2 linked regions of the Daphnia pulex genome follow. Each later gene encodes a partner of the first gene's protein in a complex. Links are inferred from orthologs where the notes say so. Each region holds a gene or a part of one and is shown in the gene's direction. Other genes may lie near its edges.

The links.
Region 2: the proteins of integrator complex subunit 9-like (region 1) and integrator complex subunit 11-like are in contact, whole or in part, in a cryo-EM structure (PDB 7SN8), measured with the Drosophila melanogaster proteins. The link is inferred for Daphnia pulex from reciprocal best matches to the Drosophila melanogaster genes IntS9 and IntS11. Residues at the interface, in NP_648838.3 of Drosophila melanogaster: Glu128, Tyr198, Asp199, Glu200, Lys201, His230, Asp333, Ser334, Ala337, Tyr338, Asn340, Ile341, Glu344, Gln351, Val354, Tyr355, Leu356, Pro357, Asp358, Asp359, Pro360, Arg509, Lys510, Leu511, Asp512, Arg513, Ile514, Tyr515, Ile516, Ser518; in NP_651721.1 of Drosophila melanogaster: His94, Lys97, Ala98, Pro135, Thr137, His139, Gln140, Ser141, Glu149, Lys151, Lys274, Thr277, Tyr278, Lys280, Met281, Phe282, Ile283, Thr284, Trp285, Phe294, Val295, His296, Val450, Lys451, Ile452, Pro453, Val454, Asp455, Ala456, Ser457.

Annotation. Positions count from the first base shown.
Region 1 is NC_060027.1:3,454,798-3,464,099, reverse strand, and holds integrator complex subunit 9-like, read left to right. Parts: upstream 1-4,222; 5' UTR 4,223-4,360; coding exon 4,361-4,369; intron 4,370-4,438; coding exon 4,439-4,633; intron 4,634-4,697; coding exon 4,698-4,900; intron 4,901-4,960; coding exon 4,961-5,162; exon of another isoform or gene 5,163-5,224; coding exon 5,225-5,358; exon of another isoform or gene 5,359-5,425; coding exon 5,426-5,538; intron 5,539-5,602; exon of another isoform or gene 5,603-5,611; coding exon 5,612-5,792; intron 5,793-5,860; coding exon 5,861-6,300; intron 6,301-6,376; coding exon 6,377-6,567; intron 6,568-6,631; coding exon 6,632-6,799; intron 6,800-6,869; coding exon 6,870-6,986; 3' UTR 6,987-7,024; downstream 7,025-9,302. Other genes in the region: mitochondrial fission regulator 1-like, read left to right, coding at 7,621-7,746, 7,811-8,028, 8,090-8,340, 8,415-8,760, 8,982-9,300. UniProt on the Drosophila melanogaster protein: Component of the integrator complex, a multiprotein complex that terminates RNA polymerase II (Pol II) transcription in the promoter-proximal region of genes.
Region 2 is NC_060018.1:12,407,674-12,416,975, reverse strand, and holds integrator complex subunit 11-like, read left to right. Parts: upstream 1-3,886; 5' UTR 3,887-4,006; exon of another isoform or gene 4,007-4,069; 5' UTR 4,070-4,086; coding exon 4,087-4,212; intron 4,213-4,281; coding exon 4,282-4,464; intron 4,465-4,530; coding exon 4,531-4,647; intron 4,648-4,708; coding exon 4,709-4,807; intron 4,808-4,863; coding exon 4,864-5,157; intron 5,158-5,218; coding exon 5,219-5,437; intron 5,438-5,515; coding exon 5,516-5,629; intron 5,630-5,694; coding exon 5,695-6,012; intron 6,013-6,074; coding exon 6,075-6,217; intron 6,218-6,283; coding exon 6,284-6,410; intron 6,411-6,471; coding exon 6,472-6,525; 3' UTR 6,526-6,627; downstream 6,628-9,302. Other genes in the region: dual specificity protein phosphatase 19-like, read right to left, coding at 6,753-7,358; tRNA pseudouridine synthase-like 1, read right to left, coding at 7,327-8,044, 8,107-8,256, 8,326-8,372; succinate dehydrogenase [ubiquinone] iron-sulfur subunit, mitochondrial-like, read left to right, coding at 8,668-8,715, 8,778-8,917, 8,980-9,123, 9,181-9,302. UniProt on the Drosophila melanogaster protein: RNA endonuclease component of the integrator complex, a multiprotein complex that terminates RNA polymerase II (Pol II) transcription in the promoter-proximal region of genes.

The DNA of each region.
Region 1 (9,302 bases):
GTTTCTTTCGGCTCATTTGCCTAAGCCGCGCCTACACAAGCTTCTTCTTCTTTTTCGTTCGTGAAATAGATTTGAACGCATTCGAAATATGGGTGAGAGAGTTGGTGTGTATTTTTTAATGGACTCTCGACTGAAGAAGAAAAAAAGAAAAATATGTTGTGTGTATGTTCTTGAAAATGTCGGGAGGGATGGATCTCTCCCGCTTATCAGTTATCACCAACCACCACCGAGTGTGTGCGGCGGCGGCCTCGCCCCGTTTCTTTTTCCTCTCGGTCGCCGGGATCAAATGGCTGAGCGTTGCACTGGTGCACAGCCATTTTTCACAGCTCTCACACACACACATACACACACCCTATACACCAACTGAACGTTAAAACATATACGAGACTCACACACAAGTACATCAAAGTTTTCTTCAAATTGTCACTTTGCACATCTTTGCTGGAAATTGTATAGTTATACAACGTGCTCAAGTTGATTTTTGGAAATCCTTCAACAAGTTGGGAAAATCTCATTTGAATTTTCTTGTTATTCAATTGTTTTTTAAATGACATTCAAGAGAGGGGGAGTGAACATGTGTGATAACTCCTAGTAGAGAGACCAAGGGTATTTTATTTGTCTCCCGTTTATGATAAAGAAATATAAGAAATTGTGTGTCTGTTTTTATCGCATTTCTTGGTTGTCAAGGAAAAATGTGTCGAGCTGCAGCCCCCAGCACCACTTGTCGGTATAGATGTAAGCATTTCATCAAAATTGTTTGTTTGCTGGATCGTATAATAATAAAAAGCATGGAACATGGTGAATTCATTAAAACTAGTACCAAATACGCCCTACGCCCTGCTCCTAATAGGCAACAGATCGACAACGGTTCCCCCCTATCCACCGAAAATTCCGCACATATTCTAATTGTTTAATTTCTCCCCCCCCCCTCGCTGCGCATGTGCATCTGATAAGAAATGAACTTTTTTCATTAAATCCCTTTTTTTCTCAGTGTGTGTGTGAAAATGTGTGGCGGCCATTTTTCGATAAATTACACTCGAGAGTGATAAAAGGGAAAAATTCTCACACATTTTTGGGTGGGTCATACAACCCAGAAGAAGAAGAAGATGTCGAAGAAGAGCACAGCGTTTATGCCCGTTATCGACTAGAAGATTAAGTTTATCTTTTGGGGGTGGGTGGGAGAAAATAAAGGGGGGTTGTACAGCATCCTCCTCCCCTACACACACATCTGCTGGCCCTGTACAAAATAGAGGAGGATACATATAGGGAGAGACGAAAGACAGAAGGAGAGAGATGGGGCGGTATTAAAGTTTCTTCACTGCGTGTCGCCGGATCGCAGTCATCGGCCAGTCGACGTCCTCGTCGGACGTCTCCAATTTCCTCTCGTCCAATTTCTTTTTCTTTTCAATTTTTTACTTTTCTAGTTTTCTGTCGTGTCGTCATCGGTTTTGAGGGTTTGATTGGCAGATCTAAAGGTTAGTTGAACACAATTTCATTTTGCCAAAACAAATTTTGAAACACCATTAGGAGAGAGAAAGGGCGGCCATCTTATTATATAGGAAAGGCTCGGCGTGTCGTACAATCTCGTGGTATTTCGCCTTCGCGGCGAGTGTGTCGATTTCTATCATTTCAGAATTCATTTCCGTTTCCACATTATTTTGATGGGGTTTGCATTAATGTTGCCAATATTTTAAAAGGAAAAAACTTTGAAAATCCGTTGGGTTGAAAAAGAAAAACAATGCCGAGAATCATCATCACGGGGAGAGCCAAGAGAATGGGAGTGATCCTAAGCGTCGCACGACGTCAGCGCCACCGTCGCAAAAGGAAGGGGGGGTTGGGATGTGCTCCCGATCGATGAGTCGACGAGAAGGTGGAGTAAAAGCGCCCGTACACACTCACATGGTATAAAGATGGCTTCACGTTTTCTCTCATCTAGTGTGTGCAGTTGTGTTGTGTGTGTGCGTGTGTGTTTGGCCGGCGGTTTTTCAGAGTATGGGTTCGACGCCGACGCCATCTGCCGTCGCTCAGTCAGGAGGGGGGAAGCAGACAGTTAGGTGGGGTGGGCAAGGAGGTGGTGGCCGTAGTCGTAGATGGAGAGACAACGTCGACAGTTCGTTTAGTTTGATGATGTGACTCCTCAACTCACATATCGTCGTCGTCACCACATCATTTTTCAACGTTAGCATATTTATGGTAATATTTTTTAAATGTTTTATTTGTTATTTATTTTCTGTGATTTTTATTTGTGTGCGGGATGATGGGGGGGGGGGGAGAGACCGGATACGACGTTAGTCGGAAAATGCCAACTGCTAATTGGTTTAATTCCCTTCTCTCACTCCCTCCGTGCAGCATCCGATAACAAATCATTTTCTTTTCCATTTTAGCTTTTTCCTTTTCCAAATTTCGTTAGTTAATTCTCAGACCGTCAGTGCAACATCCGTTTTGTGTGTGTAATAACGACCTTATTTTCTTTCGGTGTGTGTGTGTTATCTCGCGGTTGCCAACTTTGATTCGTTTAAGTTTAAAGAAACCGGACGCGTCATTTTGTTTTCTAGATTTACTCTGGCCAAACTCGTTTGAATATCCGTAGGCTTTTTTATTTTTATTTGACGTTTACATTTTTGAAAAAAAGAAGTGGAGCAATTTTCTCCCACGTCCTTCAAATGATTCAATTGCATCCCCACCCCCTTGCTCCGTCCATTTAATCTAATCTATACGCCACACACGCTCAGACAGAGGCAGACATGCCCAATGTTGTTGCCTAGACACTCCCGAGCGCCAGCTGCATTATCGCTTATAACCTTTTGAACCGGCTGTAAAATAAATTCTTAACACACAGCGAGAGGGGGGGGGGAAGAAAAATTATATATATTTTGAATAGAAAAAAAAAGACTTTGAACTCTCTCTCTCCCCTCCCTTCTATCCGTTGATGGTTAAAACGGTCAGACGAGGTCACACACAACAAACACGTCGTAAGCAAGCTGCTGCTGCTTCCTCTTCTTTCTCTCTTCGAGTGTTGAGAGACACATCTCACATTGCTCCGGCTTCAATTTCTTGTAAGAGCCTTTAGCAGCAGCAGCTATCGTGTGTTGGAACACACATTTTTCTTCTTCTCTCGATAGATCACTCAACCGACCCAGCAGAGTATCGACATTTTTTTCTCTTTTTTCATTTCTGGTGAATAAGGGGGGAGGCCCCTGAGCTCTTTTGATTTCCCAACTACACTACTGTACTACTACTACCACCTACCCCATGGTATATATCAAACACACACACAAAAGCTTCTCTTTTTCATTCTTTTCTTTCCTTTTTGATATGGGAAAAGGGCCAGCAGCCGGGCAGATGTTTCCCATTTTGTAAAAGACCGTTCACTCTCTCCTTTTTGCTCACGTATATATATATATATACAGAGGAAAAATGCTCTCCCCTCTTTGGGTATAGTCGTTGGTCGTCTCCGACACCCATTTGTGATGTGTGTGTTGTGTTCCCCCCCATCGTATTTCATTTCCCTTTCTCTCCCCCTTAGTAACCGTGTCTGCTCTTATTTCTCTCTTCTCACACAGACACACAGCAGACTCCCGACCAAACACAGAGGCCAAGCCGATCATCGACCATGTTGTTTTCTTCATTTTCTTGCTTGGGTCTTGCTTATTGGATTCTTTTTATTGTGTGTGTGTTTTTTTTCTTCTGTTGTTGCAGGGGCATCAAATATATATAGGAGGCATTTCGACACCGGAAGCTGAAGGAGCATCACGTATCATCTCTCGCTGTGGAGAAAATGGTTCAATGACTTGGCCTTATCATTCACCAGTCCGGTTAGATTTTTTGGAAAGTTCCTTTTTCTTGGTTGCACCAAGATTTAGTTGAACACCCTACTGGACGGAGAACTGATAAGGGCGTGTCTTGCAACACAATCGACGAAATGGACGAATTTTTTTTTTTTGACAACCAACAAAACTGTATAGAGTGATATAATATTCTTTCGTTCTTAATCATTGACAAAATGTGTGTAACTTTGTAGCTTCTTTTGTTTCGCTTGTTTGTTGCGTATCCGATGGCGTTATTCAATACACATTCTCAAAAGCGAATATGTGATTCAGATTTCAATTTTTATTCTAGATTTATTTCTTTCGCGTTCCGGCGCTCTTATTTAAAAAAATAAAATAATAAAATAAAATGAACCTATCTTTTCAAGTTGAAAAATGACAACGCTGCATTGGGTTTTCAAATGTTAGTCTGCTAGCAGCTCGTGTAGTAAGTACGAACCGGACAAACAAACAAGTCTGGATCTGTCTGTCATATACCGAGTTTGAAATAAAAATTCTTTCTTGTCACTTTTCAGATAAAACGCGCCCACAACATGAAAATCGTAAGCATTTTAATATTTTCCTTTCACCGAAATGGAGCGGTCTGATAAACACAGTTTCTGTTTACATAGTACAGTCTGGGCGCCAACCCAAATAAACCCTGCAACATCTTGAATTTCAAAGGCGTTTCGCTGATGCTCGATTGTGGGCTGGATATCAACTCGGCCCTTCATTTTCTACCTCTGCCTCTCGTTGCCAGCAAAAGGCTCTCAAATTTACCAAACTGGATCCCGAGAGACACACAGGATGCTGCACTTCTTGATGGAGTGAGTTAGATTTGATCTCTTCTCTATCTTCGTGTCATTTCAAATGTTCATTTATCCTGTATAGGAACTGAAAGAATGTGAAAATCGAGTGTTGGTGGATGGCCCAATAGAGATACTGCCCCCTCAGTCAGACATTTTTGACATCTCTGATGTGGATACCATCTTGCTATCGAATCATGCCTGCATGCTGGCCCTGCCATTCATCACTGAAGAAACTGGCTTTAAAGGGAGGGTATATGCAACTGAACCCACCTTGCAGATTGGAAGGTATGCAACCTGCAATTGTTGTCACACAATATTGAGACTATATTGTATTCTTTGTCGTAGGCTCTACATGGAAGAACTGGTCAACTACTTGGAAAGGACTCCCAAAAATCAGCGAGCAAACAGATGGAAGCAAGTACTCCAGTCTCTTCCTCCTCCTCTCAGTGGGGCTCTGAGACCAAATGATTGGAAGAAAGTCTATTCCACAAAAGCCATCAATGCAGCCCTGGCAAAAGTTCGCATGGTTGGCTTCAACGAAAAAATTGTACGTCCTTTTTCGGATTTTTAAAAAATTCTTATGAAACAATATTAACCGACAACTTTTAGGATATCTGTGGTGCTTTAACTGTGATGGCCGTCAGTTCTGGATATTCCCTTGGTAGTTGCAATTGGATCATTCATTCCGGCTATGAGAAGATTGCGTACGTGAGCGCTTCATCTACTCTCACGACCCACCCAAGGTTCTATAAGCTTAATTAGTGTTACTTTTTTAACAAATTAATTTTATACCATTTTTTCCATATACAGGCCGATGGATCAAGTTGCCCTTAGAAATGCCGATCTCTTGATCTTGACAGCGTTGACTCAGACCCCCGTGGCCAATCCAGATTCAATGTTGGGCGAATTCTGCATGGCAGTTGGTAATTCAAATAGTAAAATTCTATTAAATTACATTAGAAAAAAACTAACAATGTTTCCTTAAACCTTTTGCAGCATCCACGTTACGATCGGGCGGATCTTGCCTAGTCCCATGTCACCCTTCCGGCCTTCTTTACGATCTGTTCGAATGTCTCTCAGTTCATTTAGACAATATTGGTCTTAGTCAGATTCCGCTGTTTTTCTTCTCTCCCGTGGCCGAAACTTCCTTGGCTTATTCCAACATCTTCGCTGAATGGTTCGGCTTGTCACATTTATTATTTTTCCGAAAATGTTTAGTCAACTTATCATCCTCATTTCATATAGGTTATCTTCAGGCAAGCAGAGCAAAGTTTATCTCCCAGAAGAACCATTTCCTCACGCCCATCTCATCAAAAATGGTCGACTGAAACACTTCCCAAGCCTGCATGCCGAAGGATTCACCAACGAGTACAGACAGCCATGTGTCGTATTTTGCGGTCATCCTTCCCTTCGTTTTGGCAATGTAGTTCACTTCATAGAGTTATGGGGCAGTCATAGCAACCACAGTATCGTCTTCGTTGAACCCGATTTCCCTTACCTGGAAGCGCTGGCCCCCTATCAACCACTGACCATGAAAATCGTTCACTGTCCCATTGACACGAGTTTGAGCTTCACTCAAGCCAATAAACTGATACGCGATCTCAAGCCAGGAAACTTACTCGTTCCAGACGTTTACCTCCACCCGCCAGTGTCGGCTCCCTTAAGATCAGACTTGGTTATTCAGGGTAAGTCTTCGATCGATTCCTGTTGAACTGGATCTAGTTGGCCAGTCAGTTAACCTTATTCTTTCTTTTTTTTTAGAATTGGATCCACCAGCATTGGGTATGAAGTCCTACCAGGTGTTACAGTTACCAATTAAGAGGAAGCAGGAAAAAGTGCATCTTGATCCGGCCCTGGCCTCTCGTCTCGAACCCATCCAATTTAAAACGGGCCTTTCAGCTTCTACTCTGACTGGAAAATTGGATGCTCGTGACAATAAATTTACTCTGAAAGTGAGTCCTTTGTTCTCCTAACTTGTGACAGTGTCTCATAGCTTTTTACTATTTTCAAATCTAGGTATTAAACGAAGAGGAAGGAGGCACATTGTACAGTGCGTCGGAGAGAATGCTGCCTCGCCATCCTTGGGGCTCTGTTGACACAACTCAACTGTTGCATTTGCTCAGTCAACATGGTTTGCTAGATGCTCGGGTCGAAGACACTCCTCGAGGCGTCGTCATTCACTTGGTACTACCCCGTATATCATTTTGTCATTTCAAGAGTCGTAATAACTTGTCTTTCCAATTTTGTCTTTTAGCCAAGAGAGGACACTGTGATTCAACTGGAAGGTTCCAACACTCATGTTTACTGCCATGATGAAGCGCTACGGAGAACTTTGAGGGATATTTTGCTACAATGTCTACCTTGTTTGTGAACATCACCATAAATACATTCGAATTTTTCTCTTATAAACCCAAGCATAAAAATAAATAGCAGGATAAATAATTGTAGAAAGTGACGGTCGTGAAAGATGTATCGACGGTTTACCCGTGTGAACAAAGAAATTCTGACGAAAGAACTGGGTTAAATTTGGAGTGCATTGAGCTTAACGACGTCCCTAGAATTTTAATTTAAAAATACTAAAATTTGTAAAGGAATCACGCGGAATTCTATTCGGGAAATGACGTCTATAGATTATAATTTTTCTTTTTTAAAAATATTCCAAAGTTATCACGTTGTGAAATGGCAATGCTGCATTTTATATCGTCTGTTGCATTGTAATTTCTGTGAATTTCATTTGCATATCATTCAGTTTACTAGACTAACCCATATTACTAGGGACGACAGTAGTTGCTCTCGTCATCGAACTAATATTGACTTTGTTTTGAAGTATGTAGCCTCAATTTGAGGAGAATTGCTGAGTTAAATCTTCGCTCGCTTTGTTTTATCCCTAAGTTGAAACCCCCAAGTTGAAGCGTTTTTTTCTTTATTGTTGATTTCCTGGTCATATGGGTGACTTTCTTATTCGTTAAATTTCTTTCGATTGCCATATTAAAAAAGTCATAACAATGAATCAGTTAATGAGGACGGTAATCGATGTACTTCAGGAGCTTCGTATAGATTTACAAGATTTTGCGTGGCTCATTGCTCAGCAACTTAGAATTGATTCTGTGTTGGTAAATGCCTCAGACCAAGTAAGTGTTGAAGCAACCTTTCACTTTTATAGAAAAAAATATTTAATTTTTTTTTTGCCCGAAGGTACTTTACATATTTCATAAGGGAGATGCTGGAAATCAGAGGAGCTTAATACGAAAATTAGCTTGCAGGATTCCCATCAAACCGTCTCCTCGCATACACTTTACAATTGTGAACTCAGAATATTCATCTAGTTTAGAATGGGATGCACAATCCACAGTTGATGAAGGCTTAGCAGCCATTCCAACTTTAGACAACAATGGCAAAATTGACTTTTGGAAGTAAGTTATTAATCGTGCAGCATTTCAATATTGTTTTAAACTTACTTCTTATTTTATCCAGTAAAAAAATGAAACCCAAAGCATCATCATCCATTGCTGATTCGGAAATCATTCCATATGAAGACGATGTTCCTTCTGTTCGATCAGCATCTCCACCAAGTGTATGTGCCGATTCATTGTACAGCTCTCAAAGCACAATTGACACAGTGGCCATGACCAAAATTTCGGCTCTGGAGGATGAACTATCTCGTTTGAGAGAACAGATTGCGAAAATAGTTAACGTTGCGACAAATAATAAACCAGGAACGTCAGGTAATCTTTTTCGCTGATTTTCTTGCAGCACTTGCATAAATTTCTTCTTTTGTGTCCTGCACAAATATGTCTAGTAGACTATGGAAGCATGCCTGCTACTCCCATTCCACCGCCTCCGCCTTTCATGCCGCCTCCACCTCCACCACCGCCTGCCACCATGCTCTTTGGACCACCTCCTCCACCACCTCCAATGTCTACTGGACTTCTTCCTCCTCCACCTCCTCCTCTACCCATTAACGGAACTGCCAACGAAACACCTAACAGAAAACTATCTTTGGCTGAATCATTGCAAAATAAGAGCTTAAAAGCCACAGATCAAGTAGACCGAAAGTCACGAGCCATGTCAGTACCCTCCATGACAGATGTTTTAAAAGACATGGGCAAAGTTAAATTGAAGAAAGTGGACAGGTACGACTCAAAGTAAGATTGATTCATTTTACGATTTTCTTTTTCTTGTATTAAATTATGTATGTTACAAAATGACTTTATATGTAGTCTGCCATGGGATTGGTGAACGTAAGTCCTTTGCTTTTCTTACTGGGCTCCGTGTAAAATAGCTTCTTATCGTGTTTGAAATTTTCAGAAGCGAAGAGAAATGTTTTTGCTGGTCTTTGCTTAATGAATTCAATCTTTTCTTCAAGGTCGGTGAATGCAACTCCTGTAAAAGGAAGGAACAGGCCAGATAAAGACGACATTGACCCTTCAACGATGATAGCTCTTGCATTGCGGAAACGTTTTGCACAAATGAATCAAATAAGTGATTCCCCAGAACGCGAAAGTCGTGAAGATCGTGAAGATTCCTTCTCGGAGTCTACTGAATATCTATTTAATTCGCCCGTTGCACCGAAGCCAACGAATTCGAAACCTAAACCTGCTCCACCCAGTCCGAGAAAGCTCTTTGTCTATACTCGTCCGGAAGCAGTTTGTGCCGACAAAGAAAACGGAACTATTCAGCAGCCTGT
Region 2 (9,302 bases), on another chromosome or scaffold:
ACGTTTTCGGTTTTATCACAAAAGAAAGTATCATCAGGGTTGTAGATTGTACCAAGTGGACATCCTCCTAATCGAGGTCGACCACTCTTCAAGCACACGAAGAAATGCCAACAATCTCCCTTCTGTTTTTTATTGTTGAATTTAGTAATGGAATTCCAGGAGGGTAACTAGACAAATTCTCACTTTTGGAAAACGTTCGTGATCACCAAGTTGCAGTACAACTTCGTCGGATTGAACATCAGATCCGTGGGGGCATGTGAAGTCCAAGATCTTTTCAGCTTGCATTTTAAAAGTGGTTTTAAAGGAAATTTAAACTAATTTGAATATTTTAGTCACCTGAACATTCGGTACGATTAGCCACATCGGGAAATTCGCAAACAGCTTGGTCAATGTCGAAAATTAAACCTTCTAAAGGATTTTTTTTAAAGTTAGGTCTCGTTTGAATTTTGGCACAACGTTGTTTACCTGGCGGGCAGTTTACTTTGGTGGGTGTGCCTTGTTCACATTCACTAAAAGCAAAGCATTCATTTTCGATGGGGAATCTTCCGTATAGTCTTGGGCAAAGGGCGTTTCCTTGTGGTGATTCTTTTAAGATACAAGATTTTTGTGGTCATTGTTTAACAAAGTAATTAGAATACCAAATGTTTTTCTCACGTAAGCGCTTCCTCCTGCAATATTTAACTCTTTGAATCATGAAACAAGCCTGGCTTTCAGACTCATAGACCTGTCCCGCTGTCCGTCTGGACAAAGTTCTTCAGTTGTTTGCTCATCCTTACATAATTGTAAAATAGGTCACACTGATCCTAATCAGCGATGTAGGAAGGGAATCGTCTTTTTCGACACAGCCGCGCCATTCGTCACGTAAGCCAAGATATTTACTATTCATAGGGAAAAAACGATTTTGATTTTGGTGAGGTTCACTCGGTATAATATGGGGAAAGTAACCTGCGAATGCGCAGTAAACCAACGTTGCAACACACTTGACCATGGTTTACGAATTACGACACAGCAATGATTGCTCTTCAAGGACTCGGCACGACATCCTTCATGTACTTTATTACTTGATCTGTACTGCATGACCATTGAGTAGAAATCCTGCTATCTCTTCCACGAACCCCACGATTATGGTAAAATTAGATGGCGATTCGATTTAATACAGAATAGCCAAGGCTCCTTATCTCTTTTGGGTTCTCACGGGTTCCCAAGGAAAGCTTTAGCGTTGATGAGGATGTTTCTGTATCTGTTATCATGAAGATATTGCGTCATTCATACCCTTGCCAACATCCGCTAATCTAGGTTCGACAAGCAGATACATCCCAATAAATGTCAATGAAATGGATCACAATCGTGATCCTGTCAGTTACGGTAAGTTAAATCTTATATGTTATTTAATAATAGTTATCTTTAAAGACCATTATAAAATCTTGTTGTGTATATAGCGGTGTTTTTCATGTTGTTGCAAGTTGATTAACTTATACATAAGGAAAGCTTCCGTTTTAATTCAGCAACTGGCCGATGCGGATGTCCACCCTGACGCCGTCCTTTTCGTCTATCTGACGGCCAGCGGTAAAGACATTGACTGGAGAAAAGACTGCCTTGCCAAGAAGATGTCAGCTGGAACACTCGACGCCCTGATGGGAGACGTTCTCCGCTCCCAGCTGCTGGAACATGCCTCTGAGCTTCCGTGGGATTCCCGCTGGTTCGGCAACGTGTACGGGCATAATTTCAACGTGGACGCGAGCGTCGAAGACTTGCCGGCCAATCAAGATTGGATCGACCTGATGGAAGCTCTCCAAATGAGACGACACATGCTGGACGTTGATGCTCTCTCCGTGGAAGGCGATGAGCTGGAAACAACTTTGTCTCGAGTGGCCCAGTATTTGGTCGTGGCTGCTGAAATGGACGGTCCCGGCCGTTTGCGAACTGCTTCGCCGTTTCCCCGTCACTTCGCTCAACATGCCTGCCGAAGTGGACCGTAGCCAAGCCGTTGTCTTATCGCGACGCTTGCGGCGATGGCTGGAACAGAACGTGAAACCGTTTTTGGACGAAACTCATTCACACGTCACGTGTGCCGAGGACAAAGGAGTGATTATTCTTCGCGATGATTATTCCGCGGAAGGATCTCAGTTGGTGCCCAGCGTCGCCCTCGTCGTGTCTGAAGGTGATATCGACAAGTCGGCACAACTGGATCGTCAACTAAATCGCATCTCCTTGAAAACGGAAAGTGCAAATGGCGCCGCTCAGCTCCATCTCCTGTTTCTGATGGATCACGTCTTGATGCTGGGACATTATCGCCTGCCCTGCGGAATCGCTCAGATGATTCACGGTGCGGAATTGATGGTGAGAAACGTGAAGAGCGCGGCCTGGAGGAGAGATTTCGGCGACGCCACCCCCCTGGATTGGAGCGATTCCATCGCTGACCTGTTTGATCGCCCGTCTCGATTGGCGGCGGAACAACCCACTTGCGTGTTGGCTCAGGCGCAACTCTGCACGTCGACTGATGTTGGCCGGCTCTTCGACGCAGCGTTCCATCACCCAATCGATCGGAATCAAAACCAGAAGACGCTTCTCTTTCCCGCCTTGAAAGATGTCGAGCGGATCCTCTCTTTCGCCGTGGACAGTCCAATCATGAAACTGGTGACGGGACTGGAAATGTTGCTGACCAAGTGTCACGGAAGCCAATGCTCACCGGGGTGTGTCCATCAGTGAAGAACTATTTTGTTACTAATCGACGATCGACGATTGCTGTTTTTTTTTTCTTAAACTAAAAAATAATAATATATTTTTTTTAACTTAAGCGAGTAACATTTTAAATTTCAACCAAATCATAGGATTTTTTAGCTTAAACTTTCTTCCACAGATGGATAGCATAGTATATTAGCGCTGAAATAATATGTGAATCCAATCGGTCCCATGTCCCCTCTATTGTGCATCGCGCTGTTTGTGGTGGTTTCAAGACAAGAAGCAAATTTTCTATTCGAAGATTTCAAAAATCAATCAGCAAATATTTGATGGCCGTCAGACCTCTGTCAGCGTCTGCCAGTGAAGCGCAGTGAAGTTCGTTGTGGACCAAAATTGTCCATAATTGAATTCGGAGGCATAACAAATTTGGACACATTTGCCTTATTTGGCTGCAGTGATGGATTCACCACAGATATGAATAATTTGGTGGATGAACGTCAGTGATCCATCAGGGAAATCTATATTGGTAGATAAATTATTTAAGCAATCTGCAATATCCTCAAATAACCCCGCCCGTGTTTGCTAGCGTCGAAACCAAAATGCGTCATCTCACTCAATTGATCAAATTCCATAAGTTCTTTCATACCTAAATTCACAAACAAATGTCGTTCCCTAATTTAATTTTTAATCCACCCAGTAAAAACTAAAAAGTTTTTGTGTACCTGGGTAGGCCAGAACTTTAATCTTTATGTACTTTTAAGAAATACTCGTTTGCGTACAGGACGTGTGGCCCAATGGATAAGGCGCCTGCCTACGGAGCAGGAGATTCCAGGTTCGATCCCTGGCACGTTCAAATTTTTTTTATTAACATTTTTTTATTATTTTTTGAATTCCCCGTCGTTTTCATAACAAAATGAATTTAATAATCGTGTTGCCCCACCTACGGAACAAAGGATTTTAGAATAGATTCCTCGCAGGATCGACCTTTAGTGGCTTATAAACTGGCTTAGTAAGTTAGTATCTGTATGCGCAGTATTTGCGATTGAAAAAGGGAGTTACGTTGTATTAAACTCAATTTAGACGCTCATTAATAAATGCTCCATTAATTAGATGGGATAAGATTAGAAAATTGGCTTGTCTTCATTTTCAATTTCGAGTTTTCGACTTCCGATTCCGAATTCCAAAATCCGAATTTTCCCCAAAAGTGATCAAAGCTTGAAATATGGCAACAGAGTAACCGGCAATATTTATTTCCAATTTTCATTTAGAAAAGAAATTTTTTCACGCAGTGCTGTTGAATGTTGATGATATAAATTTGAATCAGGTTTGTGGAAAATTTGAAGGACAATTGTAAACTATTAATTAAGGCTTTGGTCGTTTGAAAAAGGCCAATTGAATTCAGCTATGACAGATATCAAAGTAACACCACTTGGGGCTGGACAAGATGTGGGGAGAAGTTGTATTTTACTACAAATGGGAGGAAAGAATATCATGTTAGATTGTGGCATGCATATGGGGTACAATGATGAGGTAAGTTTAGTTTTGGTTGTTCAAACATCAAAGTTTTGTTTGTCCTTACCCAAATCTTTTATTCTGTAGCGACGGTTTCCAGACTTTTCATACATTGCTGACGGAAACTTGACAGAATCCCTAGATTGTGTCATCATATCCCATTTCCATCTAGATCATTGTGGGGCTTTACCATTTATGACTGAAATGGTTGGATATAATGGCCCAATTTACATGACTCATCCAACAAAGGCTATTGCTCCTATCCTTTTGGTAAGATTCTTTTTACATTTCACAAATTGGTATTATGTTACAGCATAATTTATACTTGCCAAACAGGAGGACATGAGGAAAGTGGCTGTAGAGAGAAAGGGTGAAACCAATTTTTTCACTTCAGCTCACATCAAGGATTGCATGAAAAAGGTTATTGCTGTCACTCTGCATCAAACTGTTCAAGTATACCATTATTTACTTCAGCCAGGGTTTTCATATCTTGATTAATTTTTTTTTGTTATAGGTAGACTCAGAAATTGAAATAAAAGCTTACTATGCTGGTCATGTGTTGGGTGCAGCCATGTTTCACGTCAAAGTAGGCAACCAATCTGTGGTGTACACTGTAAGTTAATATTGGAAATCTTGGTTCTGTGCATACCTGTAAAATATATCTATTAGGGAGATTATAACATGACTCCGGATCGACACTTGGGTGCCGCCTGGATCGACAAATGCCGACCCAACATACTTATATCGGAATCCACTTATGCTACAACTATCCGTGACTCTAAACGCTGTCGAGAGCGGGATTTCTTAAAGAAAGTACATGATTGTGTAGACAGAGGAGGCAAAGTTCTCATTCCCGTGTTTGCACTTGGTCGAGCTCAAGAACTTTGTATTCTTTTGGAAACTTATTGGGAACGAATGAATCTTAAAGCGCCAATCTACTTTGCTGTGGGTCTCACTGAAAAGGTAACTTCGATTGAAATAGTTAATCTTTTGAATCCTCTTAAACTTTTTTCCCTTTTCATAGGCCAACAATTACTACAAAATGTTCATCACCTGGACCAATCAAAAGATTCGCAAGACTTTTGTTCAAAGAAACATGTTCGAGTTCAAACACATCCGTCCTTTCGATAAAAGTTACGCCGATACACCTGGTCCAATGGTCGTTTTCGCCACTCCTGGGATGCTTCACGCAGGTCTTTCTTTGCAACTCTTCAAAAAATGGGCACCCAATGAAAATAACATGGTAGGAAGAGATAAATTATAATACAAATGTATATTTTCAATTATTTCAACTAACTGGAATCCTTTTTTCCCCACGTAGTTAATTATGCCTGGTTACTGTGTCTCTGGAACGGTTGGTGCCAAAGTTCTCAGTGGTGCTAAAAAAGTTGAAATTGAAAACAGACAAGTTATCGAAGTGAAAATGTCTGTTCAGGTGAGTTATTAGGATTCACTAATACGCCAAATATCTGTCAATTAATCCCATTCATTTGTTATCAGTACATGTCATTTAGCGCTCATGCCGACGCCAAGGGTATCATGCAATTAATCCAATATTGCGAGCCTCAAAATGTGCTCCTTGTTCACGGAGAGGGCGTAAAAATGGAGTTCTTGAAACAGAAAATTCAACAAGAGTACGGTATCGACTGTTACATGCCGGCAAACGGGGAGTCGGCGTACATTCCATGCAAACCTGTTGTTCCTGTCGATGTATCACTTTCATTGCTGAAAAAAGAAATGGCTCTCTATGATACGGTTGGCGCACCAGACCCGAAACGACCTTGCCGTATGCATGGTGTGCTCGTCATGAAAGACAACGTAAGTGTACTTGATTTAGCTATACTTTCTGCCTACATTTTTATTCATTGTTTTGGCCATAGGTTCTCAAGCTTATGGAACCCGAGCAGGCATTCGGTGAACTAGGTTTAAACCGGCATTCTATCCGATTCACTTCCTGTATCCAACTAAGATTACCCGGAACCGCTATTAGAGCTATGGATCAGATACAGCTTATTTTGAATTCGTAAGAATTCTCAATACTTTTTTTTAAAGATAATATAACTTGAGCATCTTTTGTTTAAATTTACAGACAAAATACTAACTACCCGGTTAAACCGTCTGACGAGGGGTTACTCAATTTGGAGTCGGTTAGTATTAAAATGGAGACGACAGACAAAGAAGATCGCAAATCCATGATGATCTCCTGGGCCTTGCAGGTTAATTGTTGTTTTTAAAAACAAAACCTAATAAAGTTACTGAGTTTCTATTATTTTCTAGGACGAAGATTTAGCAACGTGGATTATGTCTTCACTACGACAAGTCATTGTTTGATAAGGTCGCGTAATCTCTGTGAATTACCTTTCATGAAATGAATACCCTCAATATGTATTGATAAAAAAATGATTAATTTTTTAAATATCACTTTCACGAATATTTCCGATTGTCCGAGTGTAAATTATTTCCTTAATGTTCACATACTTGTGGATCCCAACTACCCGAATTTTAGGAAATTGTAGACAATTGGCATGTGGCAATTCGTGTATTAAGAAGGTTTCACTCTAACTGTTAGGTTTTGAATCATTGTTCAAAATACTAGACTCGTACATCTTCAACTGTTTTACAAATCCCGCATTAGGTTGAGCTCTTGGTCTGGCAGCTTTGACTTGACTTATAGCCTCACAGAGACTCTTTTGTCGACGACACATTAGGAAGGCGACCACGATTGAAACAGAACGAGAAACACCAGCATTACAATGGACAAGCACACGACCGTTTTTAAGCGCTTCATCTATAAACTCAAAACACTTGGCAAAATGACAACTTAGCGGTTCTTCGGGCAAGTCCAAAATGTGAACATCGAGATAGTGAAGGTCAAGTAATTTCTGAGATGGAACTCCGGCAACGTTCAGTACGTGGGTGATCCCATACTGTTTAATCAATTCTGCATCATTGGCAACATCTTGAGAAGCGACAAAAAGGCCTTCCTCTACTTGGCCAACCTGTAGATCTGGTGTGTTATCGATGACAAAACCGTAAGATTGTTCACTCTCCACTGCAACTCCGTCGCCTTCATGAAATACTCGTCCACTCGGTAAAGTCACTCGCGTAGTCACTCGGCGCAAATTTTGTCCCTTAGTTTTCAATAATTCGTTGAGGCTGCTCATCTTGAGGAATCTTGTAGCCAACGTCTAGAAGATACAATCCGTACGGTGGAGCTGTCATAGCTTTCGGATTCCACTGTCCTGGATGATCAAATAATTGACGGGCTTCGTCAAGGTTGATATGACCATTAGCTACAGCCACCACCAGAGCCACCATCCGACGCACTTGTCTGTACATGAACGACCGAGATTTGATGTGGAAATCATAAAAATCAATGCCCGAATACAAAGGATCGTATAAAGGATCAAACAAAGGCCTTCCAGGTTTGATATGGAAAGCATCTATTGTTCGAACAGTAGGGTACCCCGGTGGTCTCCCGCTGATGCCGTGACAGAATGACGCGAAATCTTTAGTTCCTTCAAATAGTTTGCAGACTTCAATAGCTTTGTCCAAACAAAAAGGTTTCTCTATGAAGTAGCACTTTCTCCATTCAATGACAGGATGACACTTAACATCCTCTGGGGTTACACCAATTCTGTAAAGGTAGTGTCTCGAATAACTTGAATATCTTGCATGAAAAGTTGATGGCACAGCTTCCACATTATTCACTGTAAGATTGATGTCAGATTTTTGACAGAACACATGCAAAGTTTTCTGGAGGGTGCGTGGTGGGATGCAACTACCATTCTTCAGAAGCTCCAAGTCAACATGAGCTAAATTGCAAAATGAATGCACTCCTTGATCTGTACTGTTCAATACAGGAAATTAATCTTCATATTACTATAAGCGAAGATTACAGGATATTTTTACCGGCTTGAGAACTGGACACCAGGTTCAAAGGAGGTAGCTGACTTTTTGTGTTGAAGGAATCTTAAAATTCCTTTTTCCAAAATTGTCTGAATTGAAGCTCGGTACGGAATTTCATCGTTGTATATTTCTCCAGGCTGTCTTTGTAACCCCCTGAGAAATGTAAGATTCGTTATTTTTTTACATATGGTCACATATAATTCTATGATTATATTAACATACCGAAAGCGCGTTCCCGAATACGAGAATTTAATGAGATAACGCTGCATTAGAAATTTCGCTCTGTAAACTTTGCAAAAATAAAAAATAGACGGACGGAATCACATCACATTGTGATTTGTGATTATTTCTTAGCAGACGATGCACTTTAGTTGCCAGATTTTGAAAATAATGAATATAGAAGAAATGCAACGCCGAGTTGAAAAAGGAAAAAGGGAAAATCACAAAATTTCCGATCCGACGACGATATACGGTCTTGTTCTCAATCAGCTGCTAGTAGTACAGCTGGGAAAAATAGTGTTGGTATTATTCGTTTTGATTTTGTAATTCCTACTTTTCCTAAACATGGAAAACATAGGCAGCAAGGCTGTTGGATTATCCAGGCAGTACATGGTAATTTATATATTTCATCTAATGGTTATTATAGGTGTACTTCATGTTTACTTGTCGTTCAGCAATTACGTAACCTGGCTACCGCTGCAGCTGCGAAGCCTGCTGTTGCACCTCGAATCAAGAAATTTGCCGTCTATCGATGGAATCCTGATGTCTCTGGGGATAAGCCGCATCTTCAGACCTATGAAGTGGACTTGAATACGTAACACAATTTAAACTCAGAAATTTGAAAATTTTGTGGCATGTCTAACTGTATATGTTTAGGTGTGGGCCTATGGTTCTTGATGCTTTGATTAAAATCAAGAGTGAAATGGACCCTACACTTACATTTAGGAGGTCATGCAGAGAAGGTATCTGTGGCTCCTGTGCTATGAATATTGGTGGTTGCAATTCTCTTGCCTGTATTAGGTAATTTGAAAATATTTTCAAACTGATCCTTTTGTATTAATTGTCTTCATTCTACAGCAAAATTGATACTAATTTGGACAAACCTGTGAAGATTCATCCACTACCACACATGTATGTTGTTAAGGATTTGGTGCCTGATATGAGTAACTTCTATGCTCAGTACAAGTCCATTCAACCTT